4 linked regions of the Drosophila melanogaster genome follow. The protein of the gene in region 1 interacts with the protein of each later gene in a pairwise test. Each region holds a gene or a part of one and is shown in the gene's direction. Other genes may lie near its edges.

The links.
Region 2: the proteins of CG11247 (region 1) and qsm interact in a two-hybrid assay, tested with the Drosophila melanogaster proteins (one large-scale study listed by BioGRID).
Region 3: the proteins of CG11247 (region 1) and Ir85a interact in a two-hybrid assay, tested with the Drosophila melanogaster proteins (one large-scale study listed by BioGRID).
Region 4: the proteins of CG11247 (region 1) and CG13405 interact in a two-hybrid assay, tested with the Drosophila melanogaster proteins (one large-scale study listed by BioGRID).

Annotation. Positions count from the first base shown.
Region 1 is NT_037436.4:21,723,781-21,730,354, reverse strand, and holds CG11247 (uncharacterized protein), read left to right. Parts: upstream 1-1,548; 5' UTR 1,549-1,904; exon of another isoform or gene 1,905-1,962; 5' UTR 1,963-2,068; intron 2,069-3,417; 5' UTR 3,418-3,616; coding exon 3,617-4,192; intron 4,193-4,404; coding exon 4,405-4,800; intron 4,801-4,859; coding exon 4,860-5,456; 3' UTR 5,457-6,029; downstream 6,030-6,574. Other genes in the region: CG14570 (uncharacterized protein), read left to right, coding at 1-613; Polr2H (RNA polymerase II, I and III subunit H), read right to left, coding at 713-1,162.
Region 2 is NT_033778.4:20,580,537-20,585,217, reverse strand, and holds the start of qsm (quasimodo), read left to right. Parts: upstream 1-1,626; 5' UTR 1,627-1,868; intron 1,869-3,085; exon of another isoform or gene 3,086-3,188; intron 3,189-3,566; 5' UTR 3,567-3,584; coding exon 3,585-3,657; intron 3,658-4,681.
Region 3 is NT_033777.3:8,793,098-8,797,482, forward strand, and holds Ir85a (ionotropic receptor 85a), read left to right. Parts: upstream 1-1,586; coding exon 1,587-1,819; intron 1,820-1,910; coding exon 1,911-3,071; intron 3,072-3,124; coding exon 3,125-3,548; 3' UTR 3,549-3,607; coding exon of another isoform or gene 3,608-3,839; 3' UTR 3,840-3,869; downstream 3,870-4,385. Other genes in the region: Pif1A (PFTAIRE-interacting factor 1A), read right to left, coding at 7-270, 881-994, 3,608-3,839, 4,227-4,385.
Region 4 is NT_037436.4:73,443-77,122, reverse strand, and holds CG13405 (uncharacterized protein), read left to right. Parts: upstream 1-1,790; 5' UTR 1,791-1,912; coding exon 1,913-2,485; 3' UTR 2,486-2,669; intron 2,670-2,731; 3' UTR 2,732-3,178; downstream 3,179-3,680.

The DNA of each region.
Region 1 (6,574 bases):
CAGTCATCTGAGGTTCCCAGGACCCGCGGCGGGAAGGTTTCTGCAAAGACAGGAACAAGCCCCATATCCACCAGCAGGCCTGGTCCCCGATCCGCCATTCGACCTGCCAACGGAGGAGGCGGTTGAATTTCCTCAACCGGAGGATACATATGGCCCTCCACCTGAAACATACGGACCACCGTCTTTGGTGGAAGCGCCAGCTGAGGTCTACGGCCCACCGGACCAAATTTATGGACCTCCCGATCAGACCTACGGACCTCCAGACCAGCCAGCCAATGATGACAGCTCCAACACATTGCCACAAAGCGCAGCTATAATTAATTTGGCAAGTCTGCCGCTACCACCCCAGGCTCAGTATGTTCTGCCGCTTCTGAACCGACTTTCTGCCTTCCGCCCGCAGCGTCCGGTTCTGCGGACTCCGCAGCGACGGCCGGCTAAGCTTACGGTTCGTCGTCGGCCAGATGCGGTCAAGATTGTGAATGCTATTAGGCCTACTCCAGTGTTCCCATCGACTCCGCAGGCTTTGCCCTTCGTGGATCGCCACATTCCTTTTCGCCCACGGCCATCTCGCCTGATAGTCAATGCGCCTTTCAGACGCCCATCCAGGCAATAGACTACTTCTTTCAGCACTCCAAGCAATGTCATGAATACACTGTAAATAAAGTTTGTTGTCTATGTCTAATTTGCGATCGAAAATAATTAGGTAGAAAATTCAGAAGGCCAGCCGCTTCATCAGCAGGTACATGTGCTGGTCCACCTCGAAGCCATGAAGATTGTTGGCGTCACCCTGAAGTCGCATCAGCAAGCCGCCGAATGACACGTAGGCGGAGAGCCGGGAGGCCTCATTGTGTGCTTCGTCGCCCTCGATCCTGTAGATCTTGCCGTACATCACGTACTCAAAGCTGTCCGCCCGCGTTCCCTCGTGCTCCATTGGATTGTACTCCCCGCTGTCCGGGCAACCATCCTCGCGCAGGGTGGTGGCCAAAACCAGGCGGAACTTGTCGCCCAGCTCCATGGGGTATAGCCACGAGTTGATGTCCAGGATGAGGTCCATCTTAAACGACTCGGACTCGCAGTGCAGGCGGGATACACGGTCGAACTTTTTGCCCTCCGGATCCATGTCCTTTACGTTGAAGATGTCCTCAAAGAGTACTCCAGCCATTTTAACTGAAATGTAGTATTTGATGAGTTATTGCTTTGAAGTCAGTTTAGTGGAGCTCCAAAAACGCACGCCTTACCTTGAGTCGGCTAATTAGATTTTATACGTATTTGATCTTATATGCGGAGGTAAATGCGTGTTCTTTTATGAACTGGGTTTATATCAGCAGAATTTTATTATATTTAAACTGTTAGCGACTAATATTTATTTCTTAAATATTTTGCATGCGCGTGTTAAGTATGAGAGATGCCAGATCTTTCTGGCGGCTTGAGTGTTGCCACACGTCTGCGATTTCAGTGAGCAAAGTGGTCACGTTCAGCAGGCTGTGATTTCAGTGTGTAAAAGAAGTCACGTTCAACAAAGTGTGCCTCACTTTGTTCTTACTGAAATTTCAATAAATATTGCAGTGATACTGCGCAATGTGATTTTTAACTTATTTATAACTTATTGCGCCGCAACCTACACGTTATTGGATTTTCTCTAACTAGTGACTGTGCATCACGCTCCCATCTGTGGCCGCGCAGACAGAGAGTCCCAGTGTGACCGTCTATCGGTGAATACACATCACTAACATTAAGAACAACATCGAAAAACCACCGAAAACTGTTATTTATTTTGCTGGACAAAACGCAGTATTGGCTTAGAATCGGCAAACCCGCAAAGTCCCACAAAGGTTAAGCCGCAGGCAGCACGATGGATACACCTTGAGGAGCCAGTCGGACTGCCACCTAGCGGATTGCAAAAAGTATGTACACACAGCTCGTGGTGTCGAAATTAAAAACAAATAAGAAGCGAACTCATAGTCGGACGCGGAATGCATAGGAAGTCCAGGTGTGTCCCATTCGGGGTGATGCTAAGTTTCCTGTGGATCGAAGGCCCTTAGCCTAGCGACTCCTGCTTTTTGCGAAGGTAAGTCCACGCCCGGTGGGGCTTTGGTGTTGGTGTTGAATGTGGAGCCCCTGGGCCAAATGTGTAGCATATGTGTATAATGGATTGCTTTACGTATATGAGTGCTGTGGTGCTGGTTCATTAATTACTAACAATCGGTTGCAAGACCCCGAAAACTACACAGTCGTCGAGTTTTGTGCCCCGAATACGAAAGACTTCAACGGCCCCTACCCTCATCCAGCGACCGCCGCCGCCTTAACCCTTACCCACCCCCATAACCCCGCCTATTTAGCATTACAAAACTGCTGTTATGTATTCACTTCTTTATTTTCGCTTTTTGTGTGTGATTTTCGCTGTCGTTCGTGCTTTTTGCCCTGTTCTCTTTCAATTTCGATTCCCAGCTGCGGATTCTAGCTTAAATTCGCTTTTTCAACAGTTTGGTCGAGGGCCGTTGTGCTGCTAAAGTGAGTTAGTTTTCAGCTTCTGCGGGTGCGGCTCTAATGAACCATTAACCCTCCGCAGGGGGAGGGGGTTGCTTGGCACTGGAATCGGAATCGGAGGGTTCCCAATCTGCTTGCCAGATGTTCGTCCCAGCCCAGGGTCATCGTAATCGCTCTCTTGCAGTTGCATTTTCAGTGTTCTCGCTTTTCATTGGAAACTCCGCCGCCTCGGAGAACAGACGCCGCGGGATCGAAAACGCTCAGGTTGCACAGCTTTATCTCGATATCTTTTTATAGCTCTACCGTGATTTTAGTGAAAGCGGTGGATTGCTTATCAGTTGTTGCCTTCCTCGGGATCTTATCAGGCGGTTTCTCCATCTCGCTCCCGCCCAAACAAAAGATTAAGACAACAAACTAAGAATTTTTTTTGGAAGCTTACGTTCGCTGGAAATGTCAATTGATAATGCGACCCACTTCAAGACTTGGGCTCCTAGCTCTGTACACCGTGAAAAACAGTCCACAACCTTCCGTTGTTAACTAGATTTGTAAAGAAACGAATATATTTTCTAATTGGATAGCCAATGAATTGCAATTAATTAATTAATTATGATAAACAACGTCTAAAAATCTCAAGTGATTTCGACAACACTGCAAAAATAGTAAGAACTATTGCATTAACGTAAAAAGTGCCATGCTTTTCGAAGCCCCTAAATATGCAAATCCACCAATTTTGGTAATATTTTTCCTGTGCATAGGTCTTATCACTGTTGACACAGCTGGAGTTTCTGTTCCGTTGCTGTTTCTCTTCTTGTTTCTGTTTCGGCTTCACTTGCGGTTACTATTTCTGTCTGTGTTTTTGATTCTCCGTCTGCTTCGGAACGTGGCGCTCGGCGAGTGGAGAATTAAAACAGCTCTTAACTTTTTTTGCAGCCCATCTGAACTAATCCAAACCAAAGGTGAATGGGAACTATCCTAGAAGTAGCAATCGAACCAAAAAATACGAATACCCTAAATTACATACGTAGAACATTAACCCTAGAAGTAAAGACAAACGCAGCAGGTGCCGGTGTTTCCCAGGAAGCGGTCCCCAGAAATTTAGTTACGAATCCAAATAATAAAAACCAAACAAATGGTACGCAGCCGTCGTAGTGTGTCCAAGGAGGATGCCGTCTCTCTGCTCACAGACAGCGGCATATCGCTGTCTTCGCCGCCGGCGGCGAGGGAATCCTCACCAGGCCCTACGCTTGCGATCAAAAGGAGGAAGAGCAGCTTGGCAAGTCTGCGCGATGCTTGTGTGGACGAGGAGGAGGACGACGGCGGAGAGCAGGACTCAAAGGATGATGATTACGTGCAACCGCAGCTTAAGAAGTCTGCCCGAAAGGGCGAACCGGTGAAACGCAAGCACCATGTCTGCAGTCAATGCTCCAAAGAGTTCGGTGGCAAGACGGATCTGCAGCGCCACATGCTTATCCACTCGGACGAACGACCGCACAAGTGCAAGGATTGTGGCAAGAGCTACCGCCAGGCGGTCAACCTGAAAAATCATATCACCACCGCCCACGAGCATCGGAAACAGTTCGTTTGTTCCCAGTGCCCAAAATCATTCGCCCTCAAGGAGCGCCTGCGGCTCCACATGCGCCTCCACTCTGGCGAGAAGCCCTATCCTTGCGACCTCTGCGACAAAAAATTCGCCCGAGGAGGTCAAGTGAGTAATACGACATTCCATTTTTAACTGAGATTTAACAATTAATTTTATATTTTTCTCATAATTTGATTTATTATAAACTTAAATAATAATATTTATTATAATAATTAAATATAAATAAGTGTATTTAATAATGAACTTTCTATTAGGCTTTTGTTTTTATAGGTCTTAACCATTGGTGTTCCTAATATATATTATCATTTATATTGCAGCTGCAACAGCACATGGTTTCTCACCACAAGACGAGTATCCAGCAGTTCAACTGCACTAAGTGCTCGGCCAGCTTCTCAACCAACGCCAATTTACGGGTGCACATGGAGCGACACGAGCAGGGCATGGAGCACCGGTGCAGCATCTGTGAGAACCAATTCGCCAACGAGCTGGCCCTGCGAGCGCACATAAACCAGGAGCACCACAAGCTGACGCAATTTGAGTGCGAGATATGCCATAAGATGATCGAGCCGGACGAGGATTTGGCCACTCACATGCAGAGGCACACCGCTGTTAAGACCCACGTCTGCGAGGTGTGCAACACATATTTCACCCAGAAAAGCCAGTACAATGTCCATATGCGAATGCACACGGGAGAGCGCCCCTATCAGTGTAGGGTAAGTTGAAAGGGTGTTAGCTTGCATGCAGCCGTAAATTATGTTTCTACTTCCATCAGATCTGCCACCAGACCTTTGCCCATTCAAGCGTACTAAAACTGCACATCCGAAAGCATACGGGGGAAAAACCCTTTCGCTGCCAGCTGTGCGAAGACGAAGTAGCCTTTTCTCAGCTGGCGCACCTAAAGAACCACATGAAGAAGATACACAAACAGCAAAAGCCCTACATGTGCGAAGGCTGCCACGATTTCTTTAAGATCAAGGTGGAGCTGCAGTCGCATGTTGAGCACTGCGCCAAGTGTCCAGTTGACGGGGACAAACCCAGTGGCAATCAGTCTGAAGATGCGCAAATTCTCTCTGTCTTAAGATTTAACATGGCAGTGGTACTGAAGAAAATTAGCTCCGCTCAAAAGCTGCGCCAGTTGGGCTACGAGAAGCGTCTAATCGATAACGTTATCATTGCATCCTTGAAGCTGGCTCAGCGACAATCCCATGACGACGCCACGATGACCCCATTGGCCAGACTCCGGCTAAATGTGGAGGAATTTCTTAAGTGGATTGTGCCAGCCCCCACTATGCAGAAATTCAGCGACGAATTGTTGTCTATAGACACGATTCTTGAGAAAATTGCTACCATGTATATGAAACAGAAGTAGAATCCAGGAGTTGATAGCCAACGCCAAATGCGAGTGTGCCATAGAAGAAGGATTTGTAGAACTAGTTCTTGCCATTTAGTTTAGTGTTTAGTAACCCAAAGTTGCAGAACGAAACCCAACCAAATAATTTATCCCAAAGATATATACTTTGTAGTACAGGTCATTTTAATGAATTACTACCCTTAATCCCAATTTTGCTGCTACCAAAAAGTATAATTTGAAGAATGTATGAGTTAGTGTTGTCATAATAATTTCCCTATTAAAGGAAATTAGTTTAAGAACGAATTTCGATGCAATAATTTATAAAATAATAGGCATAACACGATTGAAACCTGAAATATTTTTGTATGCTTAGTCTTGCCAGAGCAACAGATTGTCCCGGAGTGAATCTATAACAGCTCAAGTACAATACAACTCATTGTGGCCATGCTTGTAAAATTAATAAGCTTAATGCATTTAGTTGCCATTTGTCTTTTCCAACAAAAGTGCAAAATCTGAAGTGTACAACTGAAATGCAAATCAAAATACGCAAGTGAAAAAATGAAATGAATAATAAATATTATTTGTGACTACAACCCAACACTGGATATTAGTTTTTCGGACTTTTTAATCATGAAACAATTTGCAGCAAGTATTATTTTCGCTTATTTTTAAGATTTCGTAAGTCTGCGAGCTTACGTAAGAGTTAGAGAAAGTTTATGAGAACGAATGATAAAAAGAACACATTCCCTTAACTAAGAGTGAGCACGTCCACTATCCCACAAAGCTGCTCCCACACTTTTGAATATATTAATATTAATTTAATAATTTTGGTTTTTATTATTATTATTGAAAGTTTCTATGTTTATTCCAAAAGGATTTTGGCCGTCTACAACAAATGGCAAAGGCCTTACATATTATTTCAGTCAACTTTCGATCTTGCTGTAGCTGGTGTCTGGAAGTTGAGGATCTCGACTAGCATCTTAGGAAGCGACACGGCTTGAATCAATCAATTTTCTGCATCTCCTGGCTTGCGTGCCTTTGACCTTTGAGGCTCATCTATGGAATTTCAAGTCCGGCTGGAAGCTGCATTCCATATTTGAATGCGGCCAAAAGAGCAACGAGTCGCACAGAAACAC
Region 2 (4,681 bases), on another chromosome or scaffold:
AAGTTTTGGTTTTGCATTAGAAATCGCCACTCAACTTGGTTTTTTCTAAAATTATTTAGGTCCGTTTTGCATATTTTAGGTGTTTTACAAAATCTGTGTAACATACTTAATATATTTTTAGAAAACTAACACCTAAGTGTACGGAATCAAAAAAAAAAAGACAAATATGTGATATTTAAGCAAATTTGCCATAATCTCAAAATAGGAAAAAGTCTGTTATGCTTATATTTGAGTGTTTTAAAAAATTAGAAAACCCAATTTTAATTATTTTTAGAAAAGACAAAATGTGATATTTATGCTTGTTTTTGTTTGTTTTACAAAATTGGCATAACCGTCTTTTACCTATTTTTAGAAAACTAACACCGAAGTGTACAAATTCAAAATGTGATATTTTTTTCACATTTGCCATAATCTCCTTAAAATAGTAAAGGCTGTTATGCTTATTTTTGTGTTTTTTACAAAACTGGCATTCCCGTCTTACTTATTTTCAGAAAACTTACACCAAAGTGCACAGATTGAAAAAAAAAACACAAAAATGTGATATTTCATCACTCATCAACTCAAAATAGTAAATCGAAGGGCAAAAAAATATGGTATTCTGTTTGCTATTATAAAAGTTCACGAGCTAAGCTAACGATTCATTAAAATATGTACATACATATTTAAGTGTTAAAAAAAAATGTGTATCTCGCGAATTCCTTCGATTTCCTCGCGTTGCCGCCATTTTGAATATTCTCTCTCCCGAAAGTTGTAGAGTAGAGCAAAAACTTTGGATGTTTTGAGAGTTCGAAGTTCATACTGTCATCCCGCTCTAAACCTCTGCATTCCATTGTGTCCCGTTTTGTGATTTTTCCTTTTCGGGATCTTCTTTGCGTTCTTTGCCCCCGGCATTCAAATTCCGAGAGTCGTCGCGAGTGGTCGTTTGAAACGTATTACCCGACATCGTTCTAGCCAACAATTTTCTGCTGCGGATGGGGGCAGTACTGTTTTTTTAACATTGAGTATTGCACTTTTCACAGCCCGAAAATGTTAGCAACTGCCTTATACTAACAATTAGCATTTTTAAATTATTAGAAATGTGAATTAAGTTTGAAGCGATTTGGTTCGTCACAAGGGCAATTCTGCATTTTTTAACTAGTATTGCACTTGAGACGGCCTGATTACTTTAAAACGAATCATTTTATGAGCAAAGTAATTAGTTTTGTTGTGTTTTTAAACTCCTTGCAATAGGCGGCAAGACGGTGAAAAATCGAAATTTCTAGATCATTTTTCGGACGGTATATGGGTTAATATTTCATTTGTCGAATATATTGCACATTCACCGGCCTGAAAATATCAAGAATTAACATCGAAAAGTGAAAAAAAAGTGTTTGCGAAAACATAAACATTTGCAGGGCGGGTCGTGTGTCAGTGTATTTATATCTTAGCTATATTGCACACTTCCCGGCCTTTAAATGTCCAATGTTTCAACATTTAAATCTGTGAAATCGTAAAATTATAAAAATCCAGTTGCGCTTTTCTCGGAAATCCGCAATCCGTTAGGTGTGAGCGAGATGACAGCTGTTGCGGTTCTTCCCCATTCCTCTTTCGCTTCGTCACAGACTTGCCAGATCGGCAAATTGTGTGCAAAGAGGAACGGGGAACTTGGTTAATTTCTTTTGCAAGTGGCAAGTGTTTAATTATTACAATTTGTGCTTAACTTAATATTGGCCGATGCTTGAGCTAAATATTCCCGTACAACTGGTGCAACAAAGTAATAATAAGGCATTTTGAGTTGAATTTAGCAAATTAAATTAGTGCGCTCGGCTGGTTGCCTTTATTTTGCACGTCATTTACCGTTTTTCAAGAGGGCCAGTAGTGTATGGCCAGTAAGTATGCACAAATAAATGTTTCTAATCCGTTTAATGATGGGATGGCCATTGGTTTGGAAAACTAACAAGTAGGAGAATCATGAATAATGCCCAAGCACGCGCGAAATCAAGAGGTGTGAAATTGGGTTCACGGGCTGCGCCTTGGGCTCTGGAAAATGCAGTAGATGACCAGCTGAAGAACGGTTTTAGTTTTGGCGGAAGTGTAAGTGTACCGTTAGTACATATAGCGAAATATATAGGGAAAATATCCATAACAGCTGCTGCATTTAGCTCATTTTAAACTATTACTTCCCTGTTCTCATCTGTGGCCGTTGAGAACGAACCGGCAGTTCGTGCTGACAGCGAGCGCAATTACATAAATGTTTGTTTTGACAACAATAGCGAGTGCAACAAAAACAACAACAGCAAACGCAACAAAAAAGCCGGAGACGAGATTGCATAATTGCTTGTAAGATTTTGCTCCCACAATTTCTCAGTTTTTGTCATGGGACAAAAAAAAAAATTATACAAACTTACCGGCTGATTGTTATCTCCGGCAGAGAGCGGAAAAGAGCGGTAGTGAGAGCGATCCTTTTACCGTATTTTACAGCCTCTCGGTTAAGCTAACTTGCTAAAGTCGCTCTCTTTTTCGCCGTGCGACAGAGATGCTCCGTGCGAGAGAGCGACTTACAGTGGGTCATTTTAATTGTGCTCTGCTTATCTAAATGTATTCAAGTATATCCATAAATTGTAATGTAGCACTTTCGTAATTGCCGGCTTTATTTATGCACTGTGAACAGCCAGGGGCTAGATGGCGCCTTAGCATTTTTCCCCACTGTCCACGCTCTAATGCCTAAGAGCGTTGGTTCACTAGCTAGTTTATAGCTAACTTTTGAAAACTCCGTTTGTTAAATAATTATTCAACACTATCTTATTCAAAATTCTTAAAATATTTTCTAAGGATTTTTTTTTTTACCAATGAAAGCATAATATAATAAAAATGCATATAGATTTATGTTGCAATAATTCGGATAAAACGGCACACTTATCTTCTTATATACATACGTACTTATTACATTTCTTTTGGGTAATTAACCAATTGGTTAACATTGAGTGCTTTCACTATAGTTTTGCACTCTCTGCCATATAAGAACGACTTCTGCTCTGAAACTGAGTCAGCATCTCTATACGCCGGCTCTCGATTCCCGAGGTAATGAAGTTGCAGCCGAGCTGAGCCTCAGTTGCCTGGCGACTAGCGAACAGCTTGGACGTGTGGTGTGCTCTTCGGTGTGGTTTCGAGTCTCGAGTTCCGAGTTTTCCCCATATTGCAGCCGTCAAGTAAGACCCGCTCCGAGTTTTGTGTGAATTTGTGTGATATGTGTGTGGTTCGCGGCTCGTTTCGTTTTTTATTTGCCGTTGTCATTGGTTTTTGATTTGTTGAGCGGTCGCCGCAAGCCACTTGACGGGCATTCTCTTCTGGCTTTGTTTCATAATAACTCGCTGTGTGTGTTTGCGATGCGGTACATATATATGTTATGGTACCTACATATATGAATTGTGTCTGTGAAAACGTCAAAAAGGCCAGGCCAAGAATACAAATAACAAATAAAATGTTGGCCCGCTTGTGGAGCATGTGCCGTTGCTTCGGCTTCGGTTCGTTCGAAATGCTTGTAATAATATGCCGTTTGTCTTTCCGTTTCTACCCCGACCAATTAGATCCGGAAATTTTGGAAAATGCTGCTCTCAATGCAAATGTGGCGCTCTCTGTGGCTGGCGGCCCTATTCTGCGGATTAGCCCAGGCCAAAGGTAAGCACTTTTTCTATCTATATACTATACGCAAAAATTTAAATATAAATATCAGAGTTAAGATCGGGGAGTGCAAGGCTAAAAAGCTTGAGAAGCTCCCATAGCGCTGCCATGATGTCATTCGCGTAATGAAACACAATAAGTATTTATTTTTTCTTTTCGATTTTGTTGAAAAACCGACAAAGTGACCTCGTTTTTGGTCGTGAAGTGCACATACACACACAATTTGTGGCCATTTGGAGTGATGGTCGAATAAAACGATCTTCGGTTTTGTCGGGGGCGTGCTGGAGCTTTTTTTTTGGTAAAAAAACGAATGACTGAGGCAACGAACTTGCGGCGACTTAATGAAGTTTGGCAGCGCGGCCCTGTCATGATTCACTCACTCGTTCTTACGCTTCCTGCCATATATTAATGCTAAATTGTATAAGGCATATATCCCTCGAAAGCCCTAACACATTAGTCATTAACTTGCCTGCCCCTGCAAGTTGCCTTTAACAGCCAAGACAACAAACGACTAAACAAACTATCAAGCGAGCGCGGCGAAAAAACAAAAGACCAAACAAGACACCTACACAAACACAAGTGCTGGGAAGGCAACATGACACGCCAAAACAAAAAAAAATAAGATATTACAAAGAAATAAAAAACAAAGCACAGTCCAGCCAACAAGATAATATCGACGAGAAAAATACTTAAACAAAGCGAAAAAAAGGGGCAGTACTCATAATAAAGCCCACACTCAACTGGTCAAGAATCGGCTGGGGTTGTCTTATTAAAAGGCAATCAGAAAGGAGAATTAACTGCAAAAAAATATTACGCGAGAAAAAATGAAGAATTAAAGGCGAAATACAGCCAAAACGGGCGACAATCGACGACTTGTGTAGGCGAACTGGTCCCGGGAATTAAGATGCAGCCTAAAAATACATAAGGCCGATACGAAAACATCTCTCTCGCGGGCTACAAACAAACAAATAAATATATATATATGTACATATATAGAAACGGTGCAGACGAGGCTGTAATT
Region 3 (4,385 bases), on another chromosome or scaffold:
ACTCACCTCAGGTGTAACTTGAGCCTGGCGTATGGGATTTTGCTCGGATATATCTGTATCTGTATCTGGTTCGGTTTTAGCTTTTGTTTCTCCCGCCGCCTTCGTAGTGGGTTTCTTTGGCTTTTGGCTCGTTTCGTTGGGGTTCGTTTTGGGTTTCGTCGTCGCTGGCACTTTGGCTTCATTCTGCTTCAGCTTCTTGGGACTCTGCAGTGCCAGCAAGTCCTTCCTCAGTTGTCCTATATTACGTTCTTTGGTCTTTATTTCCTCTAACTGGAATAATAAGTAGCAGAGATTGGTTAGATTCATACTAAACATATGGAGTTTAGAGATATATGAGCAATACGTGTTCATCCACCTGTAAAACTGTTCAATAATCAACCAGAATTGGTCTAATATTTATACAAGCCCATGTTGGTGGCTCAATTCAGCGTTATTAAATGTTTATACCATTAATGGGAATACACAACTTGTTGTGTATGTTTTTAATGAGAACAAATGGTAGGTAACTATATCCCATTAGTTTGGTGTAAGTGCAAAAAGAAATGTTTATATGTATATGGTCTTACTGATTGAAACTAAACTCTAGTAATAACATCACGAAAAATGAAAATGTTTATACGAATATATGACCAGTAAATCAAAATGATATAAGGCTTATAATATGGGTACTTTATAGCAGCTAGTTGAATATGACCTGTTTTCTTGCTGTGCAAATTCAAAATGCATGTATGAATTTCAATGGTGGTATGAAAAGTTGCCCGTCCGCTTCTGAACCGCCGGGTTTCGTTCCGTAACGCTTCCCCCCCCCCCCCCCCATTCACAACCACTTCTTTTGAGCCAACTTTTGGTGACCCGTTAGCAGCCGCTACGCACAACTTACCAAACGTGTTATTTCAATTTTGGCTGATTTCTGTATGTGAGTCAATCGGTTTTCGTACGCGTTCTTCAATTGCCGCATATCGGCAGCCTTGAGTCTATCAGCCTGCCCCATAATCTGCAAGAAATGGTCGAATCATACATGTTTGCGTGTTGCCAACTTTTTGGATACGGGGCTCCAAGCAGCGGGAGATACCAGAAGCAAGTTAATCCATGCTGTTAGTTTGCACTTTGCGATTAGGTCGCGTACGTCCATTAACCAAACGAGACACAAAAACACACAAAAAATGCTACATAAAGAACGGGAAAGGAAAGTTCTTGCCACAGTCGAAGAATCGCATACCCTTCATAAAAAAAAATTAAAAAAAACGAAAATTTTACAAATAGCAAACACCTAAAGACTTTCACTTTATTGAGTTATATGCCTACTTAAAATTCATCGCACAATCTTGGGAACTATAGAGGGTTACTAAAACCTGAAATTAAAACAGTATGGAAAAGAATATTTCTGTGTTAATTAGGTAATGCAATCTGTAGGCAGTAACTCGCAATGTTCCTTTTACAGGGTATAAAAGTGCAGAAGATATAGCATAATATTTGCTTAACGCCCTTTGCCGATATGGCAAGCATTAGGGAAATTGCTATATCGAAATTGGCTCTGGGTATAAAAACAATGGTGTCATCCCTCTGCTCAAACAGTTGGCATTGCAATGTCCATCCAGTGGCTAAAACACATTCTGCTCCTGGCAATCCTGGTCAATTTGGCCGGGACACGGGAGAATCACATTCCGTTAGATTTGAAGAAAAGTTCGATCGTGATGGTCAAGATGAGTCAGATCCTCTGCAAGGCTCGGATTAAGGTCCTGTTCGTCTACTTCGAGAATCAAACCTCCCACGAGCATACGGGTCAAATACTCAAAGAGGTGACCAAGTGCGACATATCGTACATATCTCTCAGGCAAGTTGATCATTTAATCCCATAACAATACTGATAACATATAATAACCACAAATATTCGAATATTTTACTTTCAGGAATCAAAATACACCACTGGAGGCGGTCAAGGATGATGGCATACTAATGTACATGGTGATGATCACCACAAACATATCACAACCATTGGAGCTTTCACTTATCCGGAAGAAATCGGCTGCCAAGCATCGATCGCATGTTTTTCTCTTGGTCAGAGATGCGGATACCGTTTCCGATGCTTGGATGCGGGCCAGTTTCCGGCAATTCTGGAAGATATGGCTACTGAACATCGTGATCCTCTACTGGCGAGATGGACGACTGAATGCCTATCGGTACAACCCGTTTATGGACAACTATTTGATACCAGTGGACAATAAACCAAACGAGGTTCCAACTTTAGAGCAGCTTTTCCCAAAGACCATACCCAATATGCAGAGGAAGCCGCTGAGAATGTGCATCTACAAGGACGATGTGAGGGCAATCTTCTGGAGACAGGGAACTATCTTGGGGACCGATGGCCTGCTGGCGGCCTATGTGGCTGAGCGACTGAACGCGACCATGATGATAACGCGTCCGCACTCGTATAACAACCACAATCTCAGCTCGGACATATGTTTCCTTGAGGTGGCCAAGGAGTACGTGGATGTGGCCATGAACATTCGTTTCTTGGTTCCGGATACCTTCAGGAAACAGGCGGAAAGCACGGTATCCCACACGCGTGATGATCTTTGCGTGATTGTGCCGAAAGCCAAGACTGCTCCCACTTTCTGGAACATATTTCGCTCATTTGGCTCATTAGTTTGGGCCCTAATTCTGGTTTCTGTTCTGGTGGCGAATGTCTTCTGCTACATCCTGAAATCTGAAGTGGGTAGGGTTCCCATGCAACTTTTCGCCGGAGCCCTAACTATGCCCATGACCCAGATTCCGCCAAACCACTCGATCCGATTGTTTCTGATCTTCTGGCTTTACTTTGGACTACTTATATGCTCGGCATTCAAGGGAAATCTGACCAGCATGATGGTGTTCCAGCCTTATCTACCCGATATAAACCAATTGGGTGCGTTGGCTAGGTCCCACTACCACATCATCATTCGTCCAAGGCACGTAAAACATATCCAACACTTCCTAACCCTGGGACACAAGCACGAGTCCAGAATTCGGGAACAAATGCTGGAAGTTTCCGACACCCAGATGTACGAAATGATGAGGAACAATGACATAAGGTATGCGTGTACGTGGATTAATTGCTGTAATTCCATAAAATCTACTTTCGCAGATTTGCCTATTTGGAGAAGTATCACATCGCCCGTTTCCAGGTGAACAGCCGTGTGCACATGCACCTGGGTCGTCCGCTTTTCCACCTGATGAACAGCTGCCTGGTGCCGTTTCACGCCGTTTATATCGTCCCCTACGGTTCACCCTACTTGGGTTTCCTGGACTCACTGATCCGGAGTTCGCATGAGTTTGGATTCGAGCGATACTGGGATCGCATCATGAACTCCGCCTTTATTAAGTCTGGAGTAAAGGTGGTAAACCGTCGACGCGGGAGTGGCAATGATGAACCGGTGGTCCTCAAACTGCAGCATTTCCACGCCGTATTCGCTCTGTGGCTGGTGGGGATCGGGATGGCATGCATTGTGCTGGCCTGGGAGCACTTGACCCACAACTACAATTTGGCGGTAACAAAGCGGCGGGACTAACTATCGCATGCAGCATGCAATGTGAGGCGGATGATTGTGTTGATGTGGCGTCCACTTACCTGGGTCTTCTCCTCCTTGTTTCGATTCGCTTCCTTCAGCACGGCAATCTCGTTAGTCAGTCTTTGGATTTCATAGTTGATGAGGCCATCGGCGGTCACATGTGCACCACTCGATTCTGGGCCCGATTCGATGGCCTTCTTTATACCGTTGCTCTTCTTGGCCATTTCCAGCGTATGCTGCAACTTCTTCACTTCACTCTTCCACCGACGACTATCTGCGTCATTCTGAGCCCTGGGTTGAAATAAAAAAGCGATAGATTGCATTTTTTAATGTCTCTTTAAATTCAAAAGATCAGATCGAAATGGGTTTTAATATCAAACGTGTGACTATTCTATCATATTTTATATCTAGATGAAACCAGAAATATTTAAATGTAATCTTGAACAAACTGATTGCATGTATATTTATTTCCGAGTTTACTGATTGCCAATCGTCACTTTCATGAAAGGTCAAATATGTTTTCAGTGCACGAATACTTTTAAAACGAATGTATTTGTATTTGATAACTCAATTTAAAAAGTTTCACAACATTATGCAATATAAAATGGTGCGATTAAGGTAAAATGAAATGGGCTTATCACGTTCCTTATTGGTATATATGTATATTAATGGACTTACCTTAAGGCTCTCACTGCACCGCGTTCTGTGATCAGACTGGACTTCAGTTCATTTACCTCCAGACGCAGTTGCTCCGTGAGGGCATTTAGCTTCTGGATGGTGTCCATGTTCTCCTGCAGTTTTCTCTTGATCCTTTGTGGAGGTGCTGCTATCACATTT
Region 4 (3,680 bases), about 22 Mb from region 1:
GTTGTCATGCCACATGAAGACCGGCTTACTAGAAAGGGCGGTCTCAACAAACCCTATTCTCACACCATCACACGACTTTTTTATTACGTCCCCTTTTAAATTATGCTCTGTGAATGGGAATGATTAAAATAATAACAAAAAAGGAAATCAAGCGACGAAATAATATACTGAGTTGACAATACGTTTAAGAGGCCATTTTAAAATAAAAGTTTACCAGGACAGAGAGAGTAGAGTGCCTCGACTACAAGATACCTCTCACTCAGGTGATAATCGGGGTGGCAACTCACTGAAACAAACTGCGACAGCATACGCTGCGGAAGGAAAATGCACAATAAATGGAAATAGAAAAGTTTAATTGAAACTCATTCAAAAAAAAAAAAAAAACAATCAAAGCATGCTAAGGATCTCTATATCTGAAACAGATGCTCTCTACAAAATAGTTGCAGTGAAAAATGGCAAGAGAGTGGGCAAAGAAAAGCGCAGAAGGAGAAAGGCTTCATGATGAAGGATGCTTGTTGTTTGCTGCAGTTAAATTAAATGAAAAAGTTTAAAACTTTTTTAATGAAACCATTTTATTCAGTAGAGGCATAAACAAAAAAACAGTCCCCATTCCGTTGTAACAATAGCACAAAAAAGATGCAAGACAAAGGAAAACAAAAGTCTGAGCGGAAGAAAAACTTGATGCAACTTGCATGGTCTGAAAGGAATCAAAAAAAAAAAAAAAAAAAAAAGAATAAAATGTCCCAATAAAAATCAAAATATGTATGAGACTTAAAGGGGGTGGCCTATGCTTGCTTTCAACTTTGTAAATTAAATTGCCCGTTATTTGATTTAAAATGGGCGGCGCAGTCTTTTTGAGCTTAAGTGACGTATGCGTAATCTGAATGGGGAGCTAATCGAAAAGCCACCTTGATACGGACGATAAAACCCATAGGCTCTGGCTATGGGTGTTCGCTTCTAATGCAACTGTCGCTTTCAGGGACTCGCAAGCAATTGGTAATTACGCCAAAAATTAAACAGGGACGTAATCAAGAAAACATCAAGGATAAAAGCTTAAGCTTGGACCAAACAAGGTGCTTATTATTTAATTAAGTAAATTCAAATAAATTAAATTAAATAAATAAATAAATTTAAATTTGTATATCCCTATATCGACATATTCAATTTCTTTGCTAAACATTGTTCTCTACATTTTTGTCTTTCATTGCACACAACTTTGCAGGTACATTTTGCGTACATATTGTGCATTCCTATTATGCCATTCAATGCACCAGTTTGATATTAAAACAGCAACTTGTGTCGCTGGGCCAGTTATCAAATACATACCCTTTCTTTCCTGGCTTACAGGTTGTAATCTGTTAGAATTCACGTCTTAACTACCGGTAGTACGATGAAACGACCCTGCTGCGAGATAAACATTATGCCAAATTAAAATGCATTCTGTAGTTTCTATAATTAATGCGAACGCATGCCGTCGAGTGGTGCGCTTTGAAACGTAATCCACCGGATCCAGCCACAAGAAATCACTGAGTCAATAAAAGCGTGAAATAAGAGAGATGAGATTGTAGAAGGAATGAAGTTAACGGCGCAACAGCTATCATGATGGCAGAAGAACAATAAATCGTATATGAAAAGATCTAATAACGAGGGAAACGGAAACGGAAGTTATTGAAGTGCTAAAAAAAATGGCGAACTGAAATAATAAAAGTAGTTGTTGTGTGCAGTAAACTGAGATTTTACTGGCTCTAAGGTGTGGAGTTTTATGTTTACGTTTGTCGATCACATGATAAATCTACTACAACAATTTGTATTTGATTTATATATCAAAATTTGGTTTATTAAAGTATTTCATAATTATGTAAACTAATACCCCTGCATCGCTTAATACAATTTATCCCTAACATCCGAAGCAATGTCTGATGTGGAGCAAGAAGCCTCTGGAGACGTTGATAATGAGCAAAATGAAGGACAAGAAGCTGCTGAAGATTTTGAGGGAGAGGGCGAAGGAGACGAACAGGACGTTGAAGAGGAAGATAAGTTCGAGGTGGAGGAGAAGGATCCCTTTGAGCTCCTCAATGAGAGCGATGAAGACGATGAAGAGCAACAGGCAATGTACAAGGAGTATCAGGAGGTGGTCAACGCTATTGATGCGCAGAACAGGATTATAAAAGAGCTCAAGGCAAAGTCCAATCGACTGATGTTCAAGAAGTGCAAGACTTATAGAGACAAGCAGGAATACAAACAACTTAGGGTCTGTCAGGAGCATGAGGAGATCCATTTAAAGGTTCTCGTGAATAGAGCCATGCACCTCCAAAACTTCGGTTCACCTAGGCGCTACAGAGATATAGAAATGGAAGTCACAGAGGACGAGAAGAGCTACTTTTATACTGAACTACAATCGACCTTATCAGGCTTTTGTCCCACGGATTCGGCTGACGAATATGAGTCGGATTCTGAATCGGATAATGGACTATGTTGTACCTAGTTTCCTAGCGGAGTTTCCGAAAATTGACGGGGAAAAGTTATGAAAATACTTGAATAATTGTGGAATATCTTCATATTTTACATATATACATATCTACACATATCAACGACACTGCACTCAATAAAATGGGAAAGGATGGAGGGAATGTGAATAAAAAATGCAAGAAAATTTCAATAAAATGCAAGTAAATGCAAAATTTAATTTAATCCCTCGATTTCTAAAATATCTGCCTAGCACTTCTTTTAGCTGGGTTTAATAGTCAAGAGTCCAGACGTGGAGTAGCCAAATAGCGGGAAAGTGTAGAGCAATAGCAATAAGCGCAAAAACAAGACGATTGTGCCCCCAGACAGAATAAGGGGATCAAAGCAAAACAGCCATAAACAAATAACCGAAGAGGCACAGAAAGACGCCAGTAGACGAGAATGAATCGAAACGAACTGAATTGAACCAAAACTTCTCTCGATGATTTCTTCGTTCCCTCCTCCTTCTTTTATTATGCCTCAATTCTCACTCTCCGCCAAGTGCCACGCCCATTGTGGCGCTTGATGGGGAACACTTCGCAAAAACGAGATAGTTTGACGTTTTCTACACAACTGGTCACTGTTTAAATTTTATTTACATTTAGAAAGATTTGGAGAAAAGTGAAATGTAAATTATTTCGATTAAAAGATAATTTATGTGGACTTGCAACTTAGAAATTTATGGTTTAACCCTAAGGTGGAAAATTCAAAAGCGCGATTTTAGAAGGGGAATGTTGTCGGCGCCAAATTCGCCAACCCAATGTGCAGAAGCAGCGGCTTCGACCGCGTTGCGACGTCACCTTGCGTCCATTCACCCCGTTCATCATTGTTTATGAGTGTGTGCCCAGACACAAAAACAAGCACACATTAACGTATACAGCAAAATTCCTTTAACTGTGCTTCGATTCCATTCCATTTTCCATCTGGTTCTGTTTCTGTTTTTTGGACCTCTGCCTTGGGTCTTCTGTTCATGTCTCTTCGCCCCCCCCCCCCCCCCCCACCCAATTCTCCAACCCTACTGCGTTCTCCCGCTTGTTGTTATTGCACTGTCTGCGGCTTGGGTATTTTTTACGCGCCTGTGCTCCATTCCACGTTCCCAGTCTCCCCGTCTCGTTCCAACAACCTTGGTATATATCTTCGCCGCCCAAAAAAAGTGTGCGAAAAATACTCTAGGA